Linked DNA regions of Mus musculus: all the other regions are reported to be linked to region 1. The links are microRNA targets in miRTarBase. Many come from high-throughput screens and were not tested one by one. Region 1 holds a microRNA gene; each other region holds the end of a gene's coding sequence.
The links. The annotated mature microRNA mmu-miR-431-5p reads UGUCUUGCAGGCCGUCAUGCA and lies in region 1 at 1,002-1,022, shown strand. An mRNA with a match to its seed (bases 2 to 7 or 8) in the 3' UTR can be bound and repressed. Matches are read on the target gene's strand: a 7mer-m8 pairs with bases 2 to 8, a 7mer-A1 pairs with bases 2 to 7 and ends in A, and an 8mer does both.

Region 2: miRTarBase lists Sc5d as a target of mmu-miR-431-5p. Seed matches in the 3' UTR shown: 7mer-A1 at 1,998-2,004.
Region 3: miRTarBase lists Tnfsf15 as a target of mmu-miR-431-5p. Seed matches in the 3' UTR shown: 7mer-A1 at 2,140-2,146, 7mer-A1 at 2,135-2,141 and 7mer-A1 at 648-654.
Region 4: miRTarBase lists Rfxank as a target of mmu-miR-431-5p. Seed matches in the 3' UTR shown: 7mer-A1 at 1,252-1,258 and 7mer-A1 at 1,603-1,609.
Region 5: the mRNA of Elfn1 is a reported target of mmu-miR-431-5p. Seed matches in the 3' UTR shown: 8mer at 2,550-2,557.
Region 6: the mRNA of Ppm1k is a reported target of mmu-miR-431-5p. Seed matches in the 3' UTR shown: 7mer-A1 at 307-313.

Annotation. Positions count from the first base shown.
Region 1 is chr12:109,589,458-109,592,577 of GRCm38, forward strand. Mir431 (microRNA 431) reads left to right here and starts at 990; the gene lies at 990-1,080. It overlaps Rtl1 (retrotransposon Gaglike 1), which reads right to left. Exons shown (of 2, transcript NM_184109.2): 2 at 1-3,120. The coding sequence ends at 712. 6430411K18Rik (RIKEN cDNA 6430411K18 gen) reads left to right here and starts at 2,080. Exons shown (of 1, transcript NR_002848.3): 1 at 2,080-3,120. It overlaps Mir433 (microRNA 433), which reads left to right and starts at 2,258; the gene lies at 2,258-2,381.
Region 2 is chr9:42,252,633-42,255,752 of GRCm38, forward strand. Sc5d (sterol-C5-desaturase) reads right to left here. Exons shown (of 6, transcript NM_172769.2): 6 at 1,545-3,120. The coding sequence ends at 2,710. Among named protein-coding and RNA genes, the nearest start is that of Sc5d, 10 kb to the right of the region's middle.
Region 3 is chr4:63,726,885-63,730,004 of GRCm38, forward strand. Tnfsf15 (tumor necrosis factor (ligand) superfamily, member 15) reads right to left here. Exons shown (of 4, transcript NM_177371.4): 4 at 1-3,120. The coding sequence ends at 2,705. All of the region lies in intron 1 of Gm42294 (a long non-coding RNA gene), which reads left to right. Among named protein-coding and RNA genes, the nearest start is that of Tnfsf15, 17 kb to the right of the region's middle.
Region 4 is chr8:70,130,803-70,133,922 of GRCm38, reverse strand. It overlaps Rfxank (regulatory factor X-associated ankyrin-containing protein), which reads left to right. Exons shown (of 9, transcript NM_011266.2): 9 at 460-3,117. The coding sequence ends at 530. Nr2c2ap (nuclear receptor 2C2-associated protein) reads right to left here and starts at 2,596. Exons shown (of 5, transcript NM_001025586.2): 1 at 2,324-2,596; 2 at 1,915-2,005; 3 at 1,406-1,511; 4 at 1,269-1,336; 5 at 171-826. The coding sequence starts at 2,361. The coding sequence ends at 707.
Region 5 is chr5:139,973,438-139,976,557 of GRCm38, reverse strand. Elfn1 (leucine rich repeat and fibronectin type III, extracellular 1) reads right to left here. Exons shown (of 2, transcript NM_001384186.1): 2 at 1,833-3,120. The coding sequence ends at 2,829. Among named protein-coding and RNA genes, the nearest start is that of Elfn1, 67 kb to the right of the region's middle.
Region 6 is chr6:57,507,910-57,511,029 of GRCm38, forward strand. Ppm1k (protein phosphatase 1K (PP2C domain containing)) reads right to left here. Exons shown (of 7, transcript NM_175523.5): 7 at 1-2,940. The coding sequence ends at 2,809. Among named protein-coding and RNA genes, the nearest start is that of Ppm1k, 26 kb to the right of the region's middle.

The DNA.
Region 1 (3,120 bases):
GGTCCTCTGAGTCTCAGGGACCTTCAGGGTGGATCAGTCCATCTGGTAAGTCACACTGGTACGTCGAATGCTCCTTGGAGCAGTTCTGCCCAGGTAAGATCAGAGTTCAGGGTCAGATGAGGTGTCAATGGAGCCGGACCAGACCGGTAGTGGGTGGGTGGGTTGTGGGGGGGGGGGTGGACTTGCTTGCAGGGTGGGCTGGGGTTGTGGAAAGCATGGAACCACAGCACCTTGGGAGACTGGGAGGGAGTAGGGGCGTGTCCAGGGGAGTCGGAGCACCGGTGTAGAGGTAGAAGTCCGTGGAGCACCCAAGGTCAGTGTCCCAGGATGCACAGGTGGCCGCCTGCCACTCAGGGGGTGGTGGTGGGGTCACTGGCATCTGCTTGCTTGGCTGCACCTGCTGTATCTGCTCTGCATCTGGCCTGGGGTGACGGGGTCACTGTTGCTCATCACTGCTCTCTCCTCATTGGTCTCACTCCCTTTTGTGGGCCTGGGGCCCGGACAGTTAGGACAGTTAGGGTTACACAGTCTTGGCTGGTTCTGGGACGCTGATAGTTGGCTAGTTCTTTAGCACAGATGATGTTGCTGGTTGATGAAGTTGTGGCCCTTCACAAGTGGGTTCCCCTTGGGTTAGGAGTAGCAAGAGGGTGTGCTGGATCTGAGCGAAGCTGGCCGAGGCACAAGGGAAAATGACAGTGACTTGGTGTGTTTTCAGTCAAGTTCATCATCTGAGTCTGATAGCTCTTCTAGCCTTGCCTGTTCCCTGGCTGGGGAAGGCAGCGCCATTCTGGAGGCCATGGCCAGGAATCGTGTGAGGGCCTGGGCCACCTGATCTCTGCTAAGCAGAGTAAGGCGGCCATCGGTGCCCAGGGTGTAGAGTAGCCGGTTGTTGAGGAAATCTAGGACCTCTGGGTCCAAAAGATTTCGTGGTCTGAAGGTGACCGCTTCCTGGTCGCCAAACAGGTCCTCTTGCACGTCGTTGTCCTGCGCGTCCTGCGAGGTGTCTTGCAGGCCGTCATGCAGGCCACACTGACGGTAACGTTGCAGGTCGTCTTGCAGGGCTTCTCGCAAGACGACATCTTCATCCCCAACGACGTGCAGTTCCAAGTACCGGTGCTGGTAAGGGTCAGGAAAGACGTCATCCTCAGGGTTGACTCTGACCCCAAAGAACTCACACAGGGTCAACCAGAACCCAGGGGTGAAGCGCATCCCCCGTGGAGGCTGGGAATGCAGAGCATTCCGATGCCAGCACCTTGGGCCCAGGAAAAGCTCAGCCAGCTCTCGAGCTGGGAGGGTGTTGGCACCCACTAGAGGGGGCATCTGGCTGAGCAACTGAGCGATGGCTGTGGCCATGCCACTACTCGCAATGAGGGTCGAGTCCAGGATGAGTCGGAGTGTGTGCCGGTGCTGAGGCCTGGCCACTTCCAAATTAGGGGCAGGCACTGGGGAGAGGGGCTGCCTTGCTCTCAACATCACCAGGACAGCTGCCACACCCAGGAGACTCTTCCAGTAGAGCAGGCCACGGAAGAAGTTTAGGACAACGGCCCGGATCTGGGCCACACTGAAGTGAGCCAGTAAGCCATTGAGGATATGGTCCATCGGGATGGCAGCCAGTAGCTCCCGCACCATGCTGGGCACCTCCTCATCTTCTTCCTCCTCATCCTCTTCTTCCTCATCTTCCTCCTCCTCTTCTTCCTCCTCTTCCTCCTCCTCCTCTTCTTCCTCCTCTTCTTCCTCCTCTTCCTCTTCCTCCTCCTCTTCCTCCTCATCCTCTTCTTCCTCCTCTTCCTCCTCTCCTTCTTCCTCCTCCTCTCCCTCCTCCTCCCCTTCTTCTTCTTCACCATCTTCCTCCTCCTCCCCTTCTTCTTCTTCACCATCTTCCTCCTCCTCCCCTTCTTCTTCTTCACCATCTTCCTCCTCCTCCCCTTCTTCTTCTTCATCATCTTCCTCCTCCTCCTCTTCTTCTTCACCATCTTCCTCCTCCTCCCCTTCTTCTTCTTCACCATCTTCCTCCTCCTCCCCTTCTTCTTCTTCACCATCTTCCTCCTCCTCTTCTTCATCATCCTCTTTATCCTCAGTCTCAGAGGATCTGTCAAAGTACCTTAGATTTGCCCTAATGGACATAAGCAGCAGTGGGCGCAGAAACCTTGCTCTGAAGCCTCTCTGGTTCCAACATCTGCGGAAGAGTGCTTGTGTGTCACCTTCAGCTGGCATCTCCATAACACCAAAATTGAAGTGTGAGAAGAAGAAGACCCAATGCCCGGGGAGAAGTACGGTGAGCCTGTCATTATTCAGAGAGGCTAGATCCTCTGTGTTGAGAAGGATCATGATGGGCTCCTCGGTGTTCTCCAGGTAGCGGCACCACACCATGAAGGCAGCCCGGATTGGAAGGATCCTCATCTCCACTCGAGGGTACTCCACCTCCATTGTAGAGAGGGGTCTTGAATAGAAAGCACAGGTAGATTTCTTGCCAGTTTCGTCGTCGGTTTGGACCAGGGAGGCAGACAGGAATGACCCAGTGATGTCTGTTTCCAAGTAGAATGGGTTCTGAGGCTTAGGGTGATAGAGAACGGGCGACTTGCGGAAAGCCCTCTTCAGGGATTCCAAGGCCTCCTGCTCCTCTTCTCCCCAGTAGTAGGGCTCTGAACTCAGCAGTTGTCTCACTAGGGGTGCTGCGATGACAGCGAAGTTCTCCACGAAGTGGCGATAGGGATAGACAAGGTCAATCACACTTTGAAGACACCTCCTGCTGCCAGGGACAGGGCACCCCACGATGAGGTTCATAAGGTTCTTGTTCAGTTTCACCCCTTTGGGGGATATGTTGAAGCCCAAGATTTCAGCGGTCTGGCGATGGAACTGAGTTTTGTCCAGTGAACAGTAGATGTTGTGATACCGAAAGCGGACCAGGACTTGGCGGACATGCTGGGAGTGTTCCTCCTGGCTCATTGAGTAGACCAGGACCTCTCTGCCATGGCAAATCACAAACAACCCTAGGATGTCTTTTAGGATGAAGTGAACAATGTTGTTCCCTTCGTCAGAGTATGAGTTCATTGTGAAGGGCCGGTAGCATCTCATCTGGTGAAGGCCGAAACCGAACGATGCTCTCCAAGTGTCTTCCGT
Region 2 (3,120 bases), not on the chromosome of region 1:
ACATCCTGGCCCTGAACAATTATCTTCACCGTGTCTTCACAAAGCAAATATTTATGAAAACAAGTTTTTCTTCCTCTACCAAACCCTGGTAAAGCCTTCCTGCCCTTCTTAGGAAGTTTATTCTATTTCAGGGTAAAGACAGGCTTCTATTTTTGTCTCTCAATTTTACTATAGACTGTTTATGGCACATTTTTAAAAAGAATGCTACAGCAACAAAAATACTAGCAATTTTATCCCATTCAAGATAATTCACAGTGATCAGTGTCTTGTTTTCGATTTTACTTACATATTTCTGTAACTCATCTTCATGTCTTTCACCCTCCAGCATGAAGGGAGGGCAGGCTCCTCCACCGAACTCCTACTGAGGGCCTAGCAGAAGACCGACCTCAACCATCACAGAACCCAGAAAACAGGAGCCACCGTCTTTGTGCTTGATCCTACTGGGCGGCAGCGACTCAGCCCCCGTGGGTGGGAGAGAGCAAGGGTGCGAAGGGCAACTGCTCTGACTCACATGTCCTAACTCTTGGGGACTCCTGAGGTGAAACTGAAGGCTAAACGCTCAGGTGCCTCTGAAATTTTATTTAGCTATTCTTTATTATACACACACACACATACACACCCCTCGCATTTCGATCATATCCACTCTACCTTTCTCATACCCAAACTTCCCCAGACCCCTCCTCATCCCTCTCCAATTTTCCTATCTTCTTTTACTTTATAAGCCAGAGTCCAATCAGAACAGGCCTTGGCCTGGGAGGTAACCCAGTGGTGCAAAAGCAACTTAGAGATTGCACCACTGCAAACGGACTCTCCCTTCTCAAGCAATCATCAACTGTCAAAAGCTCCCAGCTGGAGGTGGGACCCTCTCAACCCCCACACCCCATCCATGACCCCAACCACTCTGGAATGCTGACTGGCTGGTTCATATATCGACAGCCACAGCTATAGTGAGCTTACGAGCACAAAGGCCCCCTCATGTCTAGAGACTTGCAGCATCTTCCCTGGTCTCTGCTCTCAATCTCTCTGCCTCCTCTTCCTTCGGGGGTTAGGGATGATGGAGATGTCCCATTTGGTGGTGGTGGTGGGATGGGGTTTACCGTTCCTTGATGTAGTACCAAACAGTGTATCTTAAGGATCCTTTTGTATGCACAGCACACTGCTAAGAGCTAGGTGCCAGATTCATCCAACATCCTAATCAGTCCATGTCTTAGTGATGCTGATGTATTCAAACCCCAGGGTTCTAGTGGGTTGTACCCAAGAAATGGGAAGCCTAGATCCTAACACAGAGCTTCGTTCCTTCTGGTTTCCACTTCCTTAGAGCACTTGGTAAAGTCAACTAACAAATGAGAAAGAGACGGTTGCAATGAGTGATGTTTGCACACAGTGCAGTGTGACTCTGAGCATCTGGGATGCTGTCAGATTTTATAACCCACATCACCTCTACGCCTTCAAAGTGACCCCAATGCACAAAGGACGTTTTGTGCTATAACATTTAAGTGGATAATAGCAGTTATGATCAACTTTTATTGGTGTTTTTTTTTTTTGCACAAATAGCCATTAGAATAACTTTATAAAAACATATCTTCTCCCTCCACAAATATACTTAGCTTACAACAACCACCTTTATGTTTTGTTTTGTTCATTTGCAGAAGAGAGGGAAGAAATAGAAGATGAGGTTTAAAAGTGTACCTCAGGTAGATTTAAGTACTTGGCAATTATTCCCTTCATTAAAAAAAAGTCAGCTTTGTAACTGAGAAATACATCAAAAGTGTGTCCACTTGATTAAAAAAAGATGTCACTGGGTGCCACAAGTTTATACCTAGCATTATCCAGATTCATGTCTGTAGGGTTATTAAACAGTGGTTTTAAATGACACACTTCAAGCTGGGCAGTGGTGGTGCACACCTCTGATCCCAGCAAGGGCAGGCAGATCTCTGAGTTCGAGGCCAGCCCAGTCTACAGAGTTCCAGGACAGCCAGGGCTACACAGAGAAACCCTGTCTTGAAAAACCAAAAAAAGAAAAAAGAAAAAAAAATGACACTCACCAAGATCTTCAGTTAAATAATCTCCTATCTAGACTGAATTATGGAAGAGCTGACATTTAAAAAAAATACCATTTATTTATTCATTTATTAAAATCTGATAATGCCCCAGAGAGTAAGGTGCCTCTGTATAGGAAGTACAATCTTATTACATCAGCCATTAAGCAAATCCTATCCACTGCCACTCACGTATCAGCTTGCTTGGACTGATATTCCTATTTGAATGAAGTCCTGCAACTCCCCAGCACTTCGGTGGAGCCAGCCGCTCCCGGGACAGGACCATCTTCATCGTTAGGGTTTCCTGGTTAGTCTCAGTAGCGTTTAGCACAATGGTACTTTTTTTCCTTAATGAGTATGCATGGACTAAGGCAAAAGGACACAGACCAGCTTCTTGAGTAGCTTATTTTCTATCGTATTTAAAGATGCTTCAGAGCTGTACAGGCTGCAGGTCAGCCGGCTGAAAAGACAAGTTGTTCCTGGACCAATGTCGGACAATTAACCAAGCGATTACAATGCTCCCGGTGTCTTCCCGCTGTTTACTGTCAGGACCATCCCTCAGCATGACACTCAAGCAATGCTGACATTCCAATGGCACCACTTATTTGCTAGGTATCTTGACTGTGTAGATTATTTTCTTATTTAAAATAGTTAATAACTGGGCAATAATCTACTTATTCTTTGTAAACTCTCCATTGCCTACTTTTTTGCCTTTACAGCCGTTTTCTGCAAAGCTGTTAGATTCTTTTTCTGTCATGTTCTTCACGTAACTATGTGGTCCTTTCCCTTCAAAAGAGGAAGGATGTTTAAAAGAGCCTCCAATTCTATCCCACAATGTGAAATACTGTCCATAGTTATAGTCAAAGAACATGTGGTGGTCTGTGTGGTGAGCTGACCCGTTAATAAATGGCCTTAAGATCTGGGGAACCCGAAAATCACCATCATGAATAGAAATTGTCCAGACATTAACCAAGACATATAAACCTAAGTAGACCACCTTGTGCAGTGGAAAGACAAAGGGGTATATATGGTAAGGCAGACTCTGAAGGAAGCCGTCCACAGGGTGAAAAGCATGACTTGC
Region 3 (3,120 bases), not on the chromosome of region 1:
GAGACTAAAGTAATTTATGTCTCTGTCCCCAGGGCAAGCAAGCACTAGGTAAGCATTTACAGACCCGATTTGAATTCAGCAGCCTTTGAGATGCATTTGACCGAAAAGCATTTCTCACTAAATTAACTATTTTCCAAAACACACACCCCCTCACCCAATGAATATATTACCTTATCTCCAAGGACCAGCCTGGGGTCTATTTTTTTTTTTTTTTTCATTTGAGACAAGGTCTTGTTATATAGGCAAGGCTTTCCTGAAAATTACTATTTAGCCCCTGTTCTCCTCAAACTCACGGCAATCCTCCTGGCTCAGCATCCCATGTGCTGGGTTTACAGATGTATGCCATTACACTTGACTCCATCATATATATACTTTCAAAACTATTTTTTTCATTTTGCTTTAGAAAAATAGCATGCTCCTGTTTGCATGGGAATACTTAGTATCTTGGAAACAGAAATGCTGGTTTGAGTCCAATTAGTAATGTTTGATGCTGCCTTCATGACAGCATATGTATGTATGTATGTATGTATGTATGTATGTATGTATGTATACCCACAAATCAACAGTTACAGTCTTCAATAAACAGGGGCAAAATAAATGCATGTCAGGCACAAGGACTCAAGCATCTTTGGCTGTCAGGAAATTCCTGTCTTGGATAAATTCCCAAGCCATCCAGATCACTTCTGGGCAGCTTTGAAGGCCCTTGACACAAAGCTTGGGTTTAGTAGAGGGGATGACCAGGTCACTCTGGCTACTTTTGGGCAAGTGTTTTCCTATAAGTCTATGTTGCTCAATATTCTCATGTTCCATGAAGATATATGCAGGCAGAGAGAGCATCTCACTCTCCTTTCTGACCTTGGAGTCAGACTGGAGTCATTGATAAAGCATCCTCAATTGACCAGTGAGCATTACTCTCAAGGTTTTAGACCTAAGCCAAAAAATAAGTCCTTCTTCTGAGACAGCCCTTCCTCCAGGTCACCTCAGGCTGCTCATCTTCTTTCAGGTGTGGTTTCCCCTATGAAGAACCAGGGGAAGGCGACCTCACCTTTCCCTGTGTTCTCACTGAGACCTGTGATACTTCAAGAAGTTGAAGACAGAAAAAGTGGCCAATGTAAGTTGGCTTAGCAGAAGCTAGATAGTATACAACTTAGGTTTAGTAGGCAGTGGAGATGAATTTTCTAACAAATTATTACTCAACAAATTTTGATCAGCTACTACTTTCCCAGTCATTGTGTGGGAGTCACGCTGCCCAGCTCTGCTTCGAAGGTTTCCTAGAAGATGGCTCAGCAGTGGTTTGGGGCTAAGTTTACCCTCTGACTCCTTGTGGCATCTACCATGACACGAGCATTTGTAATAGAGACTATATAAAGGCTGCAAACCAAACTTGAAAGCAGATCTAGATAAACACCTCTGGATTTGATGACTGACACTTTGTTGTTGGTCTTCATAGTACATTGACTCCTGGCATGAATCAAGTGTTTCTACAGTGCTCCATTTCACTTGATGTCTGTCTTTAAATTCCTTCAGTGTCTCTATCAGCTGGTTAGCCTATACTGGACAACGATGGAGACAACATTCTCAGGAATGCTGTCTTTCAGGACTTGAAATTTTTCTTTAAAATTTTGTTTTTGTTTTTGTTTTACACTTATTTATTTAGTTACATGTGTGCATGCCACATCATTTGTATGGGGGTTTGAGGATAATTTGTGGGAACCAATTCTCTCCTTCCAGCTTTTGGGTTCTGGGAGGTCAAACCCAGGTGTCAGGCTTAATGACAAGCACCTTTACCCAAGAAACCACCTAGATGGCTGACTTGAAGTTATACTTTGGAAGTTATACATTTTGAGTGGTAGTTGATCAGGAAGTATGTATTGAGGATTCATTTAGTTTTTAAGAAAATTTGACTTTCTCTTCATGGTCCTGTGGGCTGAGTGCCCAGAGCATAGTAGGTACTCAATAAACATGTTCTCACAATAATAAAAGTGTTCTATGTTCCATGTGCATTTGGAATTCCCACTTGTATGTTTGGATACTAAAGGATGCAATCAGAAGAAAGGTGAGGTTTCTCCTTCACAGCAGAAAACCAATTCCTTTTAGGGAATATTCACGAGAAATACCATTTTTTCTTTTTTCTTGTCTTGTCTTGTCTTTTCTTGTCCCTTCCTTCCTTCCTTCCTTCCTTCCTTCCTTCCTTCCTTCCTTCCTTCCTTCCTTCCTTCCTTCCTTCCTTTCTTCTTTCTTATTTTTTAGGTTAGGCACAAAAGAATGTGGAAATGCATTGCCTCTTGGAGAAATAACATCATTTTCTCAGTCTTTCTTTGGATTCTGTCTTTAGCTCTTGATCTGGAGTAAGTTCATTGTCGAATTCAGCTCTAACTGAACTGCTGAATTCAGAAAGGACTTGGACAGAGGGCACTGTGGAAAGGTTCTGTCCTGAAATCAGTAGATTGTGCCATTGGATGAGGCGTGTTTCAATTTTTAAAACCCAGCAGGTCTCTATCAAACATGAGCTGTACTGGGTTTTCCATTTACTATTTTAGTCCATAAGGCATATACGGATCAATATTGGGTTCCTAAATTATATAGCTAAACCACTGTCCCCTTCCCTGATCCCTCTAAAGCCCCTGTTTATAGATCCATATGAGAAAAGGAAATTGGAAAGTAGGAGGCAGGGGAGCCCCTTGGAATGATGGTTTTCTCCTCCTTATAGCAAGAAAGCTCCAAAGAAAGTTTTATCTTCTTTTGTGTAATCCACCAAGGAGATGTCACTGACGTTTACCATTAGTCTGTCTCCTTCTTCCAAGGAGAACGTGGCCCCAAGGTAGAGGGACTGGAACCAGTTGTTGCTTATTTCACACACAGACTTGGACCCTGTTAGTAGGCGGGCAGGCTCAGGGTAGCTGTCTGCTACCTTGGTGATAACCATGGTGATGGAGTCTGGCTTGTTTGGTCGTCTCCCCCGACTGATGTCACCACACACAGATGTGGTCCCTCGGAATGTGATCTGGGAGTAGATGAAATAGTCTCCTGACTCTGGGATCACCAGGGATTTGTTGATGTACTTCATCCCGTTCTTGGTGAAGGCCATCCCTAGGTCATGTTCCCAGTGTAGAGCAGAGA
Region 4 (3,120 bases), not on the chromosome of region 1:
CTCTGGGGGACACAGACACTCGGAGATACAAACAGCACCATCCAGGCCCAGGGTGGGCGTAGTCTTGGTTATCACCTCCACCCACATCCACACATTGTTCCTCTTGGTGGTGGGGTGGGCATCCCAGACTTCCATTCCTGTTGCTGTAACAGAGTACCACAAATGGGGTGTTTGGTTTTTTTTAACATTTTATTTGGACTCATGGTTCTGGAGGCAGAGAGAGCTACAATTCGGAGGGTGGGTGGGATACAGGAGTGAAGGGAGACAGGCAAACCTTGCCTTAAAGCAACCTATTCTCAAGGTAGTGAGCCCAGCCCAGCAAGAACAGAAAAGCAGAAAAGCACTTGGCTGGACAGTTTCCTGCTCACGGCCTCCTGTTTACATCAGAGGCTGAGCATCTTCTTCAGTCCCTTCTTCCCGGCTCCCCCAGCTCACCCCTCCTCCCACCTCCTCCCACAGTGCAACAGGTGATGGAGAGCCACATCCTCAGATTGTTCCAGAGCACCCTGGGGCCTGTGGACCCCGAGTGAAGACAGCCTGCTGGGAACCCAGGCACTCAGGGACAGTCAGCCCACAACTGGCTTGAAAGGCAGCTCCTGGACAGTGGTGGGAAGAGCCCTCCGCAACAGGAACCAATAAATCTGTGCAGAACTTGAAGGTCTTCAGGGTGCCTCCCAGGGGGGCTTCCTGGAAGAATAGCCGCTTCTCACCCTGCCTTCTCACCCAGCACCCGCAGGTGGTAGATGACTACACGGCCAAAAAAGTCGGTGGTGTCCTCAAAAGTCAACTTCAGTCGGTCCACCTCCATTGTGGGGATGGAGAAGGTGTGACTTCTTGCAGTCAAGGAAATGGTGGTTTTATCTCTGACCCATCAGGCCCCACCTTCCCAGTCCAGAGACCACCCGATGGGCCACTGACTAAAGGCTCTTGATTCTCATACCCAGCAAGAAATCAATAGCACCTTTTTTTCTTTTTCTTTTAAATATGGGGGTCTCAGGTAACCCAGGCTGGCCTCAAACTGTAGTTGAGGCTGACCTTGAACTCCTGATCTTCCTGCTGCCCCTCCAGGGCACTAAAGCACAGAGAAGCAGTTCCTACTCCTGCGGAGGAGGTCAAAGCTTTGATTCTTTTGAGACAGGGTCTGGTCCAAGCTGGCCTGGCATTCTGGATCCTCCTGCCCCAGCCTCCCCAGTGCCATTACCACCACACCCAAAGACCTGAAGCTTGTAGAAAACCAGATCCCTCCCACCACAAGACAGGCAGGATATCTGAAGGGCATTGGTGTCCTCAGGGTAGAAATCTACAATCTTGCTGAGTGCCTCCCCACCCCGTGAACCTGCAATGGAGAAATGGGCTAAGAATCCAGGGAACCCTGTGGACACCCCACCTCTCAGCTTTCTTGTACCTTCCAGGCAGCTGTGGCGACTGGAGAAGCCACCCTGGAACTGCACCTGCAGCTGTGTGATCTGAACACACTGGGGAAACTCGAGTGACACCCACTGGGAGGGGCCCTGGAAGCAGAGGGATAAACTGAGGCACTTGGTAACTGCAAGGTTAGGGCCCTATGATGTTCTGTTCATCTTTCTTTCTTTTTTTTTTCCCCAAGACAGGGTTTCTCTGTGTAGCTCTGGCTGTCCTGGAACTCACTTTGTAGACCAGGCTGGCCTCGAACTCAGAGATCCACCTGCCTCTGCCTCCCAAGTGCTGGGATTAAAGGCGTGTGCCACCACTGCCCGCCTTTTTTGTTTGTTTGTTTTTTGTCTGTTCATCTTTCAAGTGTCACTGCCACGGCCAGCACAGGAAGGGTACAAGCACACTGTGCTTTCTAGTCTCCCCAGAGATCTCAAGGCACCCTGTAACCTTGCATCTTCTACACCCCTACACTTGGAATGAAGGGGTATAGAAGCACCTCACCTGGTCAGAGTTCCAGCACGTCTCTTCATCCTGGTCAAAAAGATGTTTCTTTCCAAATTGCCGGCTGTTGCGATTGAGCACAGAACTGACCCTGCAGGACAGGACCAGGTTAGGGGCCTCAACACTTGGACATCCTTGCTGTGAGCCACCCACCAGGCCGGCCGGCCCCACACCCAAGAACTCTGCTACCAACAGCCAGGAACTTAACTACCAGACCGCACCCCCAGCCAGGGAACAGATGCACCAGGCAACACACCACTTAAACCACGGGACTCTACCACCTGGCTCCGCCCCCAGGCTGCTCCAGGTTCCTGATTCTGGACCCCAGCTAGCTGCCATCTGGGCCTCGTCTCCACAACTCAGCTCCCAGTTCTTCCGCCCCCGCGCCCAGATCTACACTGAGTCTCACCTGCTCACAGTGTCCGGACAAACCAAAGACTGAGTCATCACAGTTCTAGGATGACTCGCGGAACGCGAGTTCGAAGCCCGGCGCTGCCACTCCCAACTTGATCTAGCGGCCACACTCCCTACCCCCGGCCACCTCTATATGACAAGGTGGGCGATCTGGGAACCGGAGGAACACTAAAAGCAGCTTTCTAAACCAACCGAGCCCCAGCGGCTCTGCAGATCTACGAACCCGGAACCGCGTGCGGATAGCGCACGCGCAGTGCTACACAGACACTGTTCCGTTCGCGGGGCCGGGGCGGGGTTTATGGCACCTCCCCTTCGCCTCTTAAAGGGCCCTCACACTGAGGTTTCTGGTTCTGTTGAACTACACACCTAGTGGCTACAAAATGTTCCCATGGCCTTCCTGTGATCATGTCTACCTGCAGAAGGCCTTGCTCGCCGTGGATGCAGCTTGGGAGCCCTGCACCCCATTGCCTTCCAAAGAGGCCAAAATAAATGTTGAAGAGGCCGTGCTACTGGGTGCATCAGTCACCCCCAGCCCTTGCGTCCTGCTCCGACCCTAAATCCATCTCCTGCAGGGCTTACGTTTCATGCTAACATGGACAGTAGCAGATCTGCCTAATATATTTTTGAGACAGGGTCTCGTGTAGATTTGGCTGCCCGGAATTTGCCTCGCAGGTAATGGCCGCCTAGACTCCCAGAAATCCTCCTGCCTCTGCCTCCTGAGCCCTGGGATTAAAGGCATGCACCTTCACGCCCCGTATTGGGATTAAAGTATATTTTTTAATTAAAAACACT
Region 5 (3,120 bases), not on the chromosome of region 1:
GGTGTAAGCCTTCTTCTAGCCCTCATCAAACATACTCGGAACTCTTCTAATGAGGATATGAAGCTGTGTGGGTTTCTGTCACCAGCTCACACTCAGTTCAGAGTTGACTCCATCAACCCCTGAGAGACCCTGGGAGACTAGGTAGGCACTACTGCCTGAGCACCAGCAGCTGAGCATCCTGCCCCTGCCTCCTGCCTCCTGCCTCTCTGCCCTCACCCCTCTCTGGACCTATGATTCTTCCACCAAACCCCATCTTGGTGCCAGTTCTCTCTGTCCTGGTCCCCCTATAAATAGCCATTTTGTCTCCTTGGCGACAGGGAATGTATCGAGCAAGCCTGGCCACCTTCTTTTGTCCTGTAACCAGAATGGCGGCCACTGAGTGGCTAGGTACCCCTGAGCAGAAAAATTGTCCCTCTCTGGGCCTCCATCACCAGCTCTGGAGCCTACATTTCCCCTCTGGGTGTGACCATACTGGACCACCTATGGCTCCCCATTTGGGAGGGTACAGAGCAGGGAGGGGCCTGTTAGGCCAGACAAGAAAGAACAGGGCATGAAGTTCTTGAAGGGGGCCCATTTAAAGGGTATACTGGCGAGGTACCTGTCAAGTGTACCTTGGTTAGGTATCCAGTGTGGGCTCTGTGTGGGCTTCTATGCTCCCCTCCGGGGACCCAGGAGACCAAACTGGACCCTGGAGCTGTGTGGATCTAAGGAAGGTGGCTAAAGTTGGAGGGGAAGATGACCTCCCATTCCTAGGAGTATGCAAGCAGAGGCTGTTGATCCACGGCTGCCCCCAGCCCCTGGAGGTCTCCCCCACCCTCTCTGCCCTCATCTCCAGCCAAACTGGGATCTAGGCCTTCCCCACAGCTCATCAGACACCGAAGCCTGCTTCTTTTCACAACTCTTCAGGCATCTCCTTGGATCCGGGATGTCGGTGTCTTGCTAGGTCTTTGTCAGCAGTCCATGTTAGGAATTGTTTTCCATGGGCGGGGAGCCCTCAGTCCTAGGGCCTTAAGGGGAATGAGGGGAAGGTCCTCAAACCAGTTTGGGAACATTGGTTGGGAGACATGCCTCCTGGCTGCTCAGGTGGGAGAATAGCCTCGGGGTTCCATGGGTATGAAGGAACAAGGTGTACCTTCCCAATACAGCATTAAACCTCTCTGGAAGATACCAGCCTTGGGTGTGGTGATCACAGCACTGGGCTAGAGGGACGTAGATGGTGTATGTTCTTGATAACAGGTGACTGCAGTCTCAGTAACAGGAAGTACTGAGGTTAGCCTCGGAGCAGGACTTACTTCTATCAGTTCTAGAAAGACCAAAGCTACTCACCTCCCCCCACACCCCCCGTGGATGGGACCACCCAGAGAAGGCCACATGAGAGAGAATGGGGTGAGAGGCAAGGGCTGGTGGTGGGAGAATGAAGGCTGGCTTTGTGTTGTAGGGAAAGGAGGCGTCTCCATGTGGGCGGTGCTCTGGGTATAGAAGGGCACACAGACACACCCTGTAACCATTGCACCCTAACCAATTCCACCATGACCACCATGTTCAGAGGAGCCCCTGTTTGTCCCTGTTTGTCCCCACCCCTCAGCTACTAGGTCTGCACACAGGCCCTGGCATAGCCACACCCTCCTCAGCCTCCTCCTGCCTCTAGCTTCTGACCCATTCACACTTGTTCCTGCCCTCAAAGAGGCTGGACACTTCCTTGCCCAGTGTGAGCCACAACTTTTCCCATAGGCTCCCACTGAGCCCATCAAAGCCACGATCCACAATTGCTTGCCTAAATGGGACCCTGAACCACCACTACTACCCCAGTAAAAACCCACAGAACACATGTATTTGGATTTTTTTTCCTTTGCAGATTTTTTTTAGTAGACATAGTCTTTTTTTCTCTCTCTCATTTTACAGCAAACTTTGCAAATATAGATTTTTTTTTCTGTACAATAGAACAGCTACAGTGTACAATAAAGATGGGGTCGAGGTGGAGGGACCACACAATGTTTCCCAGCCTGCACCCCTCTTGCCACCCTGACTGGTCCCCAGGCACAGTCTTCACCTCCCCACTAGAGTCTCACAGGCTCCAGATGCTCCACCCCTCTGCACTCCACAGCCTGGGAGATCATATTTAGGGGGTGCCATGAAGCTGGCTAGACTTGGTCACATGCCCCACGCTAGGTGATTTAGTTCTTTCTTCTTTCTCTCTCTTTTATTTTTTTTAAAGATTTTCACTTTTATATATATATTTTTTAAAAAGGAAGAAAATAAAGAGAGAGAAGAAGGAAAAGGAAGAGAAGACTCAAAACAGGAAAGATAATGGAAAAACTTCCCCTCCCCCACCCCCACCCGTAAGACACAGTTTTCCGAAGTCCCATGTGTGCATGTGTGTGCATGTGCATGTGTGAGTGTGTGCAAATGTTTGTGTGTGCACGCGCACATGCATGTGTGTGCATTTGTGTGTGTGAATGTATGTGTGAGTGTAAGTGTGTGAATGTGTGAGTGTATGTGAGTATGTGAGTGTGTGAGTGTGTGTGTGTGTGTGTGTGTGTGTGTGTGTGTGTCTTGCTTGCTTGCACCAGGCAGCAGGCACATTACAGTTTACATGGAAGTTAGTATATCTACTGTCTCGGCCACCTGCGGCCTCCCCAAGCTGTCCCTGTGGGCCAGGTGCTGTATGCAGCGGCCCCTGGTTGTGCACATATGTTGGATTTAGTGTTAAGTCTCAGTCAGGGATAGCTGCTGTGGGTGGTCTATCCTTTTTGGTCCAATGGGCATCACGAGTTTCGGAGAGGACAGGGCCAGGCTTCCTTGGGCCCTGCCAAAGGGTGGAGGGAGGTTCAGGACTTGTGCTGGGCAGACACGCCTTTCCAGTAGTCTAGGATGTCATGCAGGTCCTCGTCTTTGGCAAACTGAACCTTCTTGCGCAGGGCGTGGCCAGCCGCCATGAACTCCGCATCATCCTTGTGTCTCCGTCGGCTCAGTCTGAGACGCTCCCAGATGCTTGGGGATGCCCTGCAGGTGTACTCGGGGCTGGATGAATAGCTCAGGTTGTGGTACTGTGGGGACAGCTGCGAGTAGACGAGGTCTCGGGGTCGTGGCCGGGTCAGAGGCTCCAGGATGGATGCCTTG
Region 6 (3,120 bases), not on the chromosome of region 1:
ACATCACAAGGTCATTCTCAATCCTAGTTTCAAAGTAAAGGGGGGAGGGAGACCAGCAATGTGAAGAACACAAAACAGAAACAAATAAGACACACCACGTTGTCATTTTTAATGTTTGAGAATTTTGTTGTGCATATTAGTTTACAAGTTCTCCATACTCTTAAAAGTTGTTTTCAAGCCAGGATGTGGTGGCACATGCCTTTAATTCCAGTACTTGGGAGGCAGAGGCAGGCAGATTTCTGAGTTCAAGGCCAGCCTGGTCTACAAAGTGAGTTCCAGGACAGCCAGGGCTACACAGAGAAACCCTGTCTTGAAAAACCAAAAAAAAAAAAAAAAAAAACACCAAAAAAAAAAAACACCAAAACCAAAAAACAAACAAAAAAACAAACAAACAAACAAACAAACACGTTGTTTTCATAACTTTTCAACACCAGACTCAACAAGAAGGCCTTTAAGCTCTGCTAGTCTCCCCATTCTTCCTCGGACAGTGAGCACGTCCTCTACTCTCTTCCGTGTATTTTGTCCCTTGACCTGGGCTCTTGCTATTCAGGATGACTGTGCCCCAGCCTCCCCAGATGTTGGAACTGCACATGTAAGCTAACATGTCTGGAAAAGCATTGTTTCTTTCAACTGACATCCATGAAAAGACCTTAAATTCTTTTTTTTTTAATTTAATTTAATTTTAGTTTTTAAAGATTTATTTATTATTATATGTAAGTACACTGTAGCTGTCTTCAGACACACCAGAAGAGGGAGTCAGATCTTGTTACGGATGGTTGTGAGCCACCATGTGGTTGCTGGGATTTGAACTCTGGACCTTCGGAAGAGCAGTCGGGTGCTCCTAACCACTGAGCCATCTCACCAGCCCCCTTAAATTCTTTATTGAGAACTTATTCTTTATTTCTACTAAATATTTTAAACAAAAGTTAAAGGCAGAAAACATGTCAGACTTGAAGGTATATATATTTCATTATTTTTCCTTTGTTTTCTGCCATAAAATTCCAAGTCACTTTTGACATTTCCTGTTCTTCTCATATCCCATAACTTTATATTCGAATTACCACACAACGATATGTCTGCCTCTGTTCTTTGGTTATCCACATACGTGACACCTAATAAAATGTCTCTTACAGCCATTTGTTGCTGATACTTTGTTCGGGGAGACAAGCTGTGGCTCAGGCTACCGTGGAACTTGCTCTGTAGCTCAGGCTAATTTCAAAGTTACCATCCCGATTCTCTTGTCTCCTCCTTAAGTCCTGAGATTATAGGTAGAGGCCACCAATACTGGCCCCCATATTTATTTGTAATCCATAGTGGTTATCTACCAGTAACAACTGAATCTTTATTACAGAGAATTTGACACTCAATGTTATTGAGTGTCCTTAGAGATAAATATATCAATAATTTACAGCTAGCTGATAAATGCGCCACAAGATTGTTCCCTTTAATTTTATATTACTTCAAAATATACATATATACACTCACTGCACATATACTAAATTTAAATTACCCTGTGAAAATATAGATTAACTACAAGCACACATTCAGGGATTCACAGTTTGACAGTAATTTTATATGCAGGTAAAAAGGAGTGTGGTTTTACACCCCTAATTTACATAGCAAGCTGACATGTTTGAATATCCTTTGTAAAAGATTTTTTTTTCCGCATGAATCTTAGAAATGAGGAAATTGGAGACATAAACCCCAAGCTATGTCTATAGCAGTATAAGTCATTGTAATATTATCTTTACTAACAAAGGCCCCAACTCGCTTACTGTGTGCACAGAAAGTGGTATAAAAACGCTACATACAAACCACACAGCAACAAACTTACACAAGATTGGCACTGTCAGTGTTTCACTTTACAGATTTTGACCAAAGCCTCAGAATATTCTTCTCTGGAGCTTACCGAACAGTTACCAATATATAGCATATTTAACTCCACAAAAATAGAAATGGATGGGGAAGTGCTAAAAATATTTAAAATACACAAGAGAGCTATTTATAAATATGTATACACTTTAGCCATGTATTTTGCAGGGTTAAATTTACTAATAAGTGATCCAGAGTACACTATTCAGTCATAGAGAACCTAGGCTTTATTATAACTCCTAGGTACATTTATTAAAATGTACCTTGTATCCCTTTATCTCTTATATCCCTTGTATCCCTCCCTTGGAATGCCCCCATCTCCTAGGTATATGTTCTCACTCTTCTTGGGAAAAAATATGCTTGTTCTGCTTTAAAAAAAAAAAAATTAAAAGGTACTCAGGAAGCTGACGTTAGGAAGACCATTTGAACCCAGGAGTTCAAGGTCAGCCAGTGAAAACCTGCTTTCTACAGAGAAAGGAAAAAGGAACACTTGCAAATAACACATTGACCAGCTATCAAAATTCAAAAAAAAAAATACCTGTCCAACTGAATAAAGAACAAACTTACTAAAAAGAAACTAAATCTGCCTCTTAGTCTTAAAAACTTAGAAAGCCCCAGATTCAATCTCTAGCCTTACAAAGGAAACACAGATTCATCACTCATCAAATGGACCAAAACCGCTTCTTCTCCCATTCAGCTCAGAGATGCACAGCGGCTTCACAGCTGTGTTATGATGCTTACACTGAGCATGTGCAGTTGACCATAATGATGATGAGGATTTATGAAAATACTACTGGGTATGTGGCTGGTAAGCTTATACTGTTAGGATCGATCAGTCACAATGACACACGGGTACAGGTGGCCTTCTGTGTGTTACCAGTTTCTTGATAAGCCCACTGACACTGCTGCATAGGAACTCCGAGTCTGAGCTGTCGATCAGGCCCATCTCCCACTGGAGGCAAAGCTTCTGCTGAATGAGAAGGTAATTTCAGAGTTCTTGTATTTTCCCCAAGCACCAAAGGGCACCACTACTGCAGTGCTGTTGTCTTCGGTACCGTACTGTATTGCCTGCAGGAGTGGGGAAGAAGAGACAGGCGCTGGAGTCAAGGGACCTTGTGCAATCACACAGCATCCTTTCTCTGGAAGGCCAACTGGTTCTACACACACTTTACGATACAAATGTAACTACCTAACAAGGTTTGGAATGGTTTCACCCTGTAACCATGTGCCATATGGTTATTAAGTGCA